2 linked regions of the Schizosaccharomyces pombe genome follow. The protein of the gene in region 1 binds, or shares a complex with, the protein of each later gene. Each region holds a gene or a part of one and is shown in the gene's direction. Other genes may lie near its edges.

Region 1 (4,329 bases):
TAAACAATACTTAGAAAATTAATGATATACACCATAAAATCGACGAAGTAGCCAACCGAGAAACAAATGATAATATTGGTAAGCTTTTTTTTGGATTAATGAGTTTTTCTTTAATTTTTTTTCTATTTATTTGCATTTTTTAAATTTTTTTTATTATTACTACTAAAAGCATCAATCTCATATCAAAATTAATTATTATGTTAAATATTTAAATAAACAAGTCAGTATTAGAAAACTTATTATACACTCGGTTTAAAAATGATTAGAAATTGAAGTATGGCTTGCACATTTATTTATATAATCTACTAAAAATTTATGTTTACCACTCAAAAGGATATGTTTTGATTGAGTATATCATTCATAGAAAATGCAAAAACCAATTTTAGAACATAAACAATTATATTTTTAAAAATTCACAGCTATATTTGCATCAGCCGGGAGTCGAACCCGGAGCTAGAGCATGGGAAGCTCCAATGTTACCGCTACACCACTAATGCATTCAGATATTTAGACTGATGTTGCAATCTATATAGTAATTTAGAAAGGATTGTTATTGTTGAGTCTGATGAAATTCTGTTTGTTGAACATTTCAAAAATGTTGCATATCAGTTAGCCATGAGTTGGGCTCTTAATATGATGTTCCAGCCTTTTAAGACTGCATACAGAAAATAATAATTAACTACGATATGGTCGCATTTTAACTGTATGAAACTTTTTTTACAAGAGGTTATTAGAAAATTCAATTGGAGGAAATCCCACAGTGTATCAAAACAGTTGCTGTTAAAACTTACTTTACACTTAACTCGTAAACATTCAACATTTTAACGTTCGATTTTCGAGTAGCAGCTTCAAAAAAGTGCTCGTTAATTTTTAACACATAAAAATGTGTAAACAAAGCAGCCACATAACCGATGTCTTACATATTCCTTCTGTACCCGTTGATATCCCAATTGAAGAAGGGATTTTAGTTGTAGCAAACAAAAACAAACGATAATAACAAAATAAAAATGATATTATACCACTTAACCCATGAATAGCTAAATTATAGTAAATTTTTAAATTAAGAAAAATTTTTTTTAAGCAGGACCAATTAATGGCGACGAGAGCGCTTGATTTTTTTTGAGGTATTTCTCACTTGCTTGGAAGTAAGCTTCTTTTCCTTTTCTCCCTCTTCAACAAGCCATTGTGTCTCTAATTCCTTATTTTTACCCTTATAACCCCATTTTGGTACCCATTCACCAGATGCTTCATCAAACACCAACCTGCCTTCCCGCTTCTTAGGAGCAATACCTTTAATACGAGCAAACCGTTGCCATTTGGTTTCGGGCTTGGGTTTAGGTAAAGGTTTAGCACGAGGAAGAGGTGTAACAGTTTCAGGAAGCTGTAAAAGGACGCCATCTGATGTACGCTCCTTAGGCAAGGAAATCATTTTGTTCACCAATTGTTGAACGTTATCTCTACTGAGAGAAAAAAGGAATGATTCTTTCTCTGAACCGCTAAGCTTAGTTTCATCTAAGGGAGAAATATCAAATGCAGCCATATTTCCCAAATCGAAATCTAGAGGAATGGAGTTTTCTATTTGTGCAGACATGATTAACGAAATAGGGACAAGGAAAAAAAAAGGGTTGATAATACAATTAAGTGACAAAAAGTTCTCAAAAAAGACTGCAAAATTGATTTGTTAAAAAGTTGGTTCAGGATACGAAATTCTTCTTTCAAACTCCAAAATTTTTATCAAACTACTGAATATATAAGAGAAAAAGCTCTCTTTCAGTTCAGCAATCTACTGTTTTTACTTTCTTTATGACAAACGAAGAAAGTAAGAAAACTTTTACGATTCTTTAGTTTTTGCAAAAGTAGAGACACTTATTAGCAATACGTTAGTTCTCTTTATTACTGAACGCCAAATCTACCCTATTAAAAAATATTAGCAATGCGCTAAGAGCTCAGTAAATACTTACCATCCGGAAGCAGTCAGTCTCTTCATTTACGTGAGAACAGATATGTATACTTAAGATTTACGAGAAAAAAATACCTCTAACAAAATGCTACCGAAGTTTAGAAGCAGAAGTAGTATTATTAAGAATACAGAGAGAATTTCTAATATCCTGTCCGGTGGAAAACTGACTGTTTGCGGTAGTAAACTGGGAGGACTCTACACTTTTGAAAAATGCACATTTAACAAATACTATTCATCCTCACAATACCAGCATACGGGTAGACCTGTTGGAGGAAATATACATTCAAGCTCTAACCAGCAGCGTCAAAAAAATTCGGAAGCGCCAAGAATTAATGAAATTCCCCCCTCAACTTCGTCAGTAGAGAAATCGACGACTATTCCCAATAGTAGCGTTGTATTGGATCATCTCTTAAATGAAGGAGAAAATACTTTAGAAGAGGTGAAGCCCTCTGAAATTCATCCGCATATGTCTTGGTCCAGCAAGTCTGAAGGTAAGATGTTTAAAATCCCCGAGGAATTGCTTAATAAACTTAATGGATTTGGGGCTTTAGAAAAACAAAAAAAAAGTTTCTCCTTTTTTACCAGTGCTTCCCTTTTGCACAGGAAAATTACAACTGAATTAGTGAATGTACTGCAGCGCTCCAAAGACCAGGGTACGAAGGACGGACGTTTTCTTCTTGATGGTGCTCCAGGTTCAGGAAGAAGTATTGCTCTCATACAAGCTGAACTTTTCGCCTTATCACAACCTAATTTTATAGTCTTGCCAGTCCATAACTGCGAAGGATGGGTAAATTCAACGAGTAGTTATGGTTATGATGAGCAACTCAAGTTGTGGGTGCAACCAGATTTAATTAAGGGATTTCTAACTTCTGTTATGAAAACTAATTCTGATAAACTTAAGAAGCTAAAGACCTTTGAAAGTCATGAGTTGCTTCAGAACGAATGCATTCCTGCTGGTACCGATTTACTTTCCTTTCTTCATAAGCTAATTGCTTCCTCGAACGCTCCTAAATCTCTGGAAATATTTTTACAAGAACTCAATAACAATACCAAGTCAAATTCCAATATGAAGGTGTTATTAGTGATCGATAATATTTCTATTTTATCGGTCGTTACCAAGTATAAGGACAAAAAGAACAACTTCCTTCCCCCTAAAGACTTTTACTTTATTAATTTACTTTTCAAATATATTTCGGGTTCGCTTACTTTTAATCGTGGTACTGTTTTAGCTGCTACTTCTAGCCAACCGCGTGTTTCTACCCCGTCATTGGATATAGCTCTTGGAGTAGCTCACAGAAATCCTTACAAATCTTCTGATGAGACTATATTAGATTCATTACAGTCCGTGCATATTCTTAACATGGAGCCTTACACTTTAGATGAGTCACGTCGCATGATGGAGTATTTGGTATCATCCAACGTTTGCCTTGAAAAGGTTGATAATTATTTGCAAAATCATGTCCTTAGTGGTGGTAATCCGCGAAAGTTTTTTGATGCTTGCACACGTCTAGCATGATTGAGATATTCAAAAATTTCTATCCACTACAACTCCTTTAACGCGGTTTTATTTTTCTATTTTCTATTCTCATGTTGTTCCAAATATGTATCATCTCGTATTAGGCTTTTTTCCGTTTTACTCCTGGAATCGTACCTTTTTCACTATTCCCCCTAATGAATAATCTAAATTAGTTTCGCTTATAATTGATAGTAGTAGAAAGATTGGTGATTCTACTCGTGTAATGTTATTAGTTTAAAGATACTTTGCAAAACATTTATTAGCTATCATTATATAAAAAAAATCCTATAATTATAAATATTAATCAATATTTGCGGTCACTATTTATTTAAAACGTTATGATCAGTAGGACACTTTGCATATATATAGTTATGCTTAATGGTTACTTGTAACTTGCATGACCGAACACCATACCCCCAAAAGCAGGATTCTTCGCTTTCTAGAGAATCAATATGTATACCTATGTACCTTAAATGATTATGTACAACTTGTTTTGAGAGGGTCGCCGGCAAGCTCGTATAGCAATATATGCGAACGCTTGAGAAGCGATGTACAAACGTCCTTTTCTATTTTTCTTCATTCGACTGTAGTCGGCTTCGACAGTAAGCCAGATGAAGGTGTTCAATTTTCTTCTCCAAAATGCTCACAGTCAGAGGTATATATATTTTTGTTTTGATTTTTTTCTATTCGGGATAGCTAATATATGGGCAGCTAATAGCGAATGTTGTAAAACAGATGTTCGATGAAAGTTTTGAGCGTCGAAGGAATCTACTGATGAAAGGGTTTTCCATGGTAAGGTATTCTAATTGTGAAATATTTACCTGCAATTACTGTTTCAAAGAGATTGTATTTA
Region 2 (3,782 bases), on another chromosome or scaffold:
GGAGTCAATCTTCTTTCCTTTTTTAAAATCTCAATTTTACGTAACAGTTGTAGGTTACTTTTTTAGTTAGTGTACAAAAAATTCTTTAAGTTGACGACAGAAATAATTAGGGAAGTCTCTTGGTTAAAAAGAGTCTTGCACGGATACATCCATAATTACAAAGAAAGTGATTGCTGCTTTGAACTTCTTCGCTTTTGGTCTGCTATTTATTAGTGTACTGCAACCTAAAATTTATAAGAAAATCTTTAGTCTAAAGTCCACGTAATTGAAGGTAACTCTAATACAGGTGAAACTTAATGATCAGAATCCTATTTTATTTTTCTAATGAACTATTCAGAGGCTGTGACCGCGGATCCGTCTCTATTTCCCTTTTTGCTAGAGGCTATAGTAAAGCTAGATAAAGGTTGCTCCATTACTTGTAGCATGTAACGTAAACTTGAACCCCATTTAGCTAATTTTTCGTGTAAAGCAACCCATTCGTGCTTACCAAAGACACGATAGCTGCTACGGTGAATGGATAACGTTTTAGTCAACTGAGACATGCGGCCTTCAACAAGTCCAGCACGAATAACATCAATGATCCATAATTCTACTTCATTTTCATCAATCTTCAAACTCTTGGCTACATCACCATAGGATAATGTATTATTGGGAGCCTGGGTAGCTAATGAAGCAATAGTTAAAAGTTTCATCTTACGTGCAATTGCATCTTCATCAAATTTTTGGTGTTGGCAATGAGCATGGTTTTCGGCAACCCAACTTACATAATCGTCGGTCATCCCGCCGGACAAAATACCAAGTAACTGTAAAGTACTTTGTTCAAGCTGCTGAACGGGTGGAAGGGTGACAATATCATCAAAGAAAAAGTACTTAGGGCTGTTAACAGCGCGTTGAACTAATTCGCGAACCGCCTCGTCAGCAGTTGAGTTGTCCATTTTTACGGCTTCCAAAAGGAAAGCAAATGATTGCTCATCATCGTATGATTGAATAGCTTTAGAAACAAAAATATTAAATGCCCGATGGTCCGATACACTGACACCAGCTTCTTTAAGCCAGTCAGGGAAGTATTTCAAATTAGGTGCAAGAGTGCTAAACAAGGAATAACGGGTAGTGAGAGTAACAACACTAGTAAGAATGCTTAAACGTGCGTGTTGACGTTCTTTGACGGCCGTATTAAATAAAATGCTTAAGACACTGAGTATGGCAGGAGTGAGATTGTTGTTTTGATCGGCAATCTGCTCTAAGGCTTGGCAAAATTTAGAAACATGATCTTCGAAAGCAGCAGATTCTTGGATAAGATTAATAAAGACGGCTAAAATAGGCTCGAGTTCTGTTTCGTGTTAGTAATAGCATGGAAGAGAAAATAAGCGAAAACTTGGAAAGCTGCAAACCAAACACATCAGCTCATAGTATACTTTCAGAACTAACAATATAACAAATGCCCTTTAGCACTTATTAAAATAATTCTTTAATTTCCTAGCCTAAAACTATTTTGCATTACCTTTCTCAGGTGCTTGTGCCAACAATGGCAAGCGAGTCAGAAACAGATTAAGAACTTCTTTAACATTTTCAGAAGCCAAATATTCTCGGCAAAGAGCAAGTACATTTTTATCGGTATTAGCCTCAAGATTATCCAAATACATAGCCAATTCTTCCACCTTTTGAAATTTCGTTAGTTGAAAAAAGTTTTACCAAAAATCGCCGAGTCATTAGCGACATACCTGTTCCTCTACGGAAGAGTCAACTACCAAAATAAAATCAGAGCCTTCCATCTCTGTTATTAATACGAATCTAGCAGACGAGAAATGCAAATATTCGCTGTTAGTGGTAGTTGGAGAGTAGGACTTGGCACCTCCACCTCGTTCAATGGTTAAAACGAAGTGGAAGTAACAACACCAGGTTGCTACCTCACATTTATTAACGATTGCTGCATTAGCAATTAACTAGCTTTCTAACATTTCACCTCATGTTTTGGACTAGTGTAGCCAGAGCTCGGTCAGTCTGGAAAGGTAAATGAATATAAATATACTTGTTTTGAAAATAATTTAGAACCTGTTATTCTGACATTATAGGACCCAACGTGGTCGATTTCGGTGTCAACGTTCAGCAATGTATTAAAGGAAACGTTCCTATAAAAACAGCTGTGCGATCTGCAACTATTTTACCTAGAATGGTTGGGTATGATACTCGTATTTAGCAAGTGTGGACGTTAACTAACTAAATTCTAGTGCTCAATTTATGGTTCATAATGGTAAATCATATGCCAATGTAAAAATTACAGAAGATATGATCGGGCATAAATTAGGTGAATTTGCACCTACCAGAAAAGCATTTCATTACAGACAAACTAAAAATCGGTAATTATTTTGGATTCTTGGCGAAAACTGGGCTATATGGCCTATTCAAAACACTTTTCACATGGATTCATAACTACCAAGAATTTCAAGTCTGCCTCAAAATTTCAATTCGTGACTTTAAATGGAGCTACCATATTAGTATTTTGTAGGACATTTCCTGTAAGAAAGCGAATATATAATTCGCCGAATCTTTTCATTACTTTCAGGCTTTTAATGACAGCACTTCTTCCAATGGATGTACTTGCACGTATAAATGTATGTATGAAAAAGTGATATGATGTTGCATAATTTTCTGTCAATGTTTTACAAAAGAATTTTGCATTCCCCTACTTGGATTTTTTATTTTTAAATTTGAAACGCAATGGCTTATGTGTTTAATGTTATTGGTTGTACTTATTTAGTAGTCTGTATAATGAATAATTAACAGCATCGAAAAACCGAATGAACCCGATATCCCAAAAGAAAATGAAAAATTAATAATTGAAAGGCAATACGAAAAAAAGGATCTTTGGAAGTGTCGTTATAACAATTGAATAACTCATTTCTTTTCGTTTTTCCGACCCGTCTTTTTATCAGCTTTGTTATTGCTGATTTTTCTGTCAGATTGTTTAGAAAAGACGGCTTCGCGCTCGTGCTAACGTAAATAGTTAGTAAATTGACTGAAACTTGAAATCAAAATAATTCATGGAAATACTTACAGCCACTTGAAGTTTAGATTTTATTTTATCGTCAAGCTCATAAGTAACTTGATTGAGAATATTTTGAAGGTCATCCTGTAACAGCAATTAGTTAATGAACAATGAATGTGGAAAATGAATAAATAGATGAAGGAATGCCCATCAATTAAAATCAAAAAGTAAAAAAACAAACAAACCAAATCAGATCAAAAATTAGATTACATGACTCAAAAAGCGCAGCAAGTTCACTTAAAACCTTATTTGTCGGATCTGGTGGTAAAGAGGAACGAATGCGGAAGAATAGGGTTCAGGGCCTTGAAAGTTTATAAACAAGATTTGTAGGATTTATATAGAGAGATATTTATCATCGTAACATCTACCACACTGACTTGAGATTTTTGTTGTTTAATGTTTTTGAATATTACTTGTTGAGTAAATGGAAGCATTTTCAACATCTATAATGAAAGAACATGGATGTGAGAATGAATTACCTTAGTTTCAGCAAATATTTTCCCCTTCTTCTTCCCCTTTTTCTGAATCTTAGTTTGGGGATTTTTAGAAGTGTTTAGCTTGGGAAGGTCCAAATCCTCCACGCGAATTTGCTACAAAAAGAAAAAGTTAGAAAAAAGGGTTCGATTTTACCAGTAAAAGTAAACAAAGAAACATTTAAAGAAGAGAAAAGAAACTCCCCTTTTACATGGTTCGTAAATTGTGAAGGAAGAAGGAGCATACATTTTTTGGTTTAGAT

What was found.
Region 2: rsm23 (region 1) and rsm19 share a complex: the UniProt entries of both Schizosaccharomyces pombe proteins name them as parts of the mitochondrial small ribosomal subunit.

Annotation. Positions count from the first base shown.
Region 1 is NC_003423.3:2,065,655-2,069,983, reverse strand, and holds rsm23 (mitochondrial 37S ribosomal protein mS29), read left to right. Parts: upstream 1-1,993; 5' UTR 1,994-2,045; coding exon 2,046-3,476; 3' UTR 3,477-3,797; downstream 3,798-4,329. Other genes in the region: ribosome biogenesis protein Rrs1, read right to left, coding at 1,091-1,591; telomerase reverse transcriptase 1 protein Trt1, read left to right, coding at 3,874-4,131, 4,188-4,268. UniProt on the Schizosaccharomyces pombe protein: Component of the mitochondrial ribosome (mitoribosome), a dedicated translation machinery responsible for the synthesis of mitochondrial genome-encoded proteins, including at least some of the essential transmembrane subunits of the mitochondrial respiratory chain.
Region 2 is NC_003424.3:384,334-388,115, reverse strand, and holds rsm19 (mitochondrial 37S ribosomal protein uS19m), read left to right. Parts: upstream 1-1,945; 5' UTR 1,946-1,966; coding exon 1,967-2,009; exon of another isoform or gene 2,010-2,072; coding exon 2,073-2,178; exon of another isoform or gene 2,179-2,228; coding exon 2,229-2,361; 3' UTR 2,362-2,895; coding exon of another isoform or gene 2,896-2,991; 3' UTR 2,992-3,055; coding exon of another isoform or gene 3,056-3,130; 3' UTR 3,131-3,230; downstream 3,231-3,782. Other genes in the region: tif313 (translation initiation factor eIF3m), read right to left, coding at 330-1,330, 1,502-1,658, 1,722-1,772; pre-ribosomal protein Loc1, read right to left, coding at 2,896-2,991, 3,056-3,130, 3,526-3,636, 3,767-3,782. UniProt on the Schizosaccharomyces pombe protein: Component of the mitochondrial ribosome (mitoribosome), a dedicated translation machinery responsible for the synthesis of mitochondrial genome-encoded proteins, including at least some of the essential transmembrane subunits of the mitochondrial respiratory chain.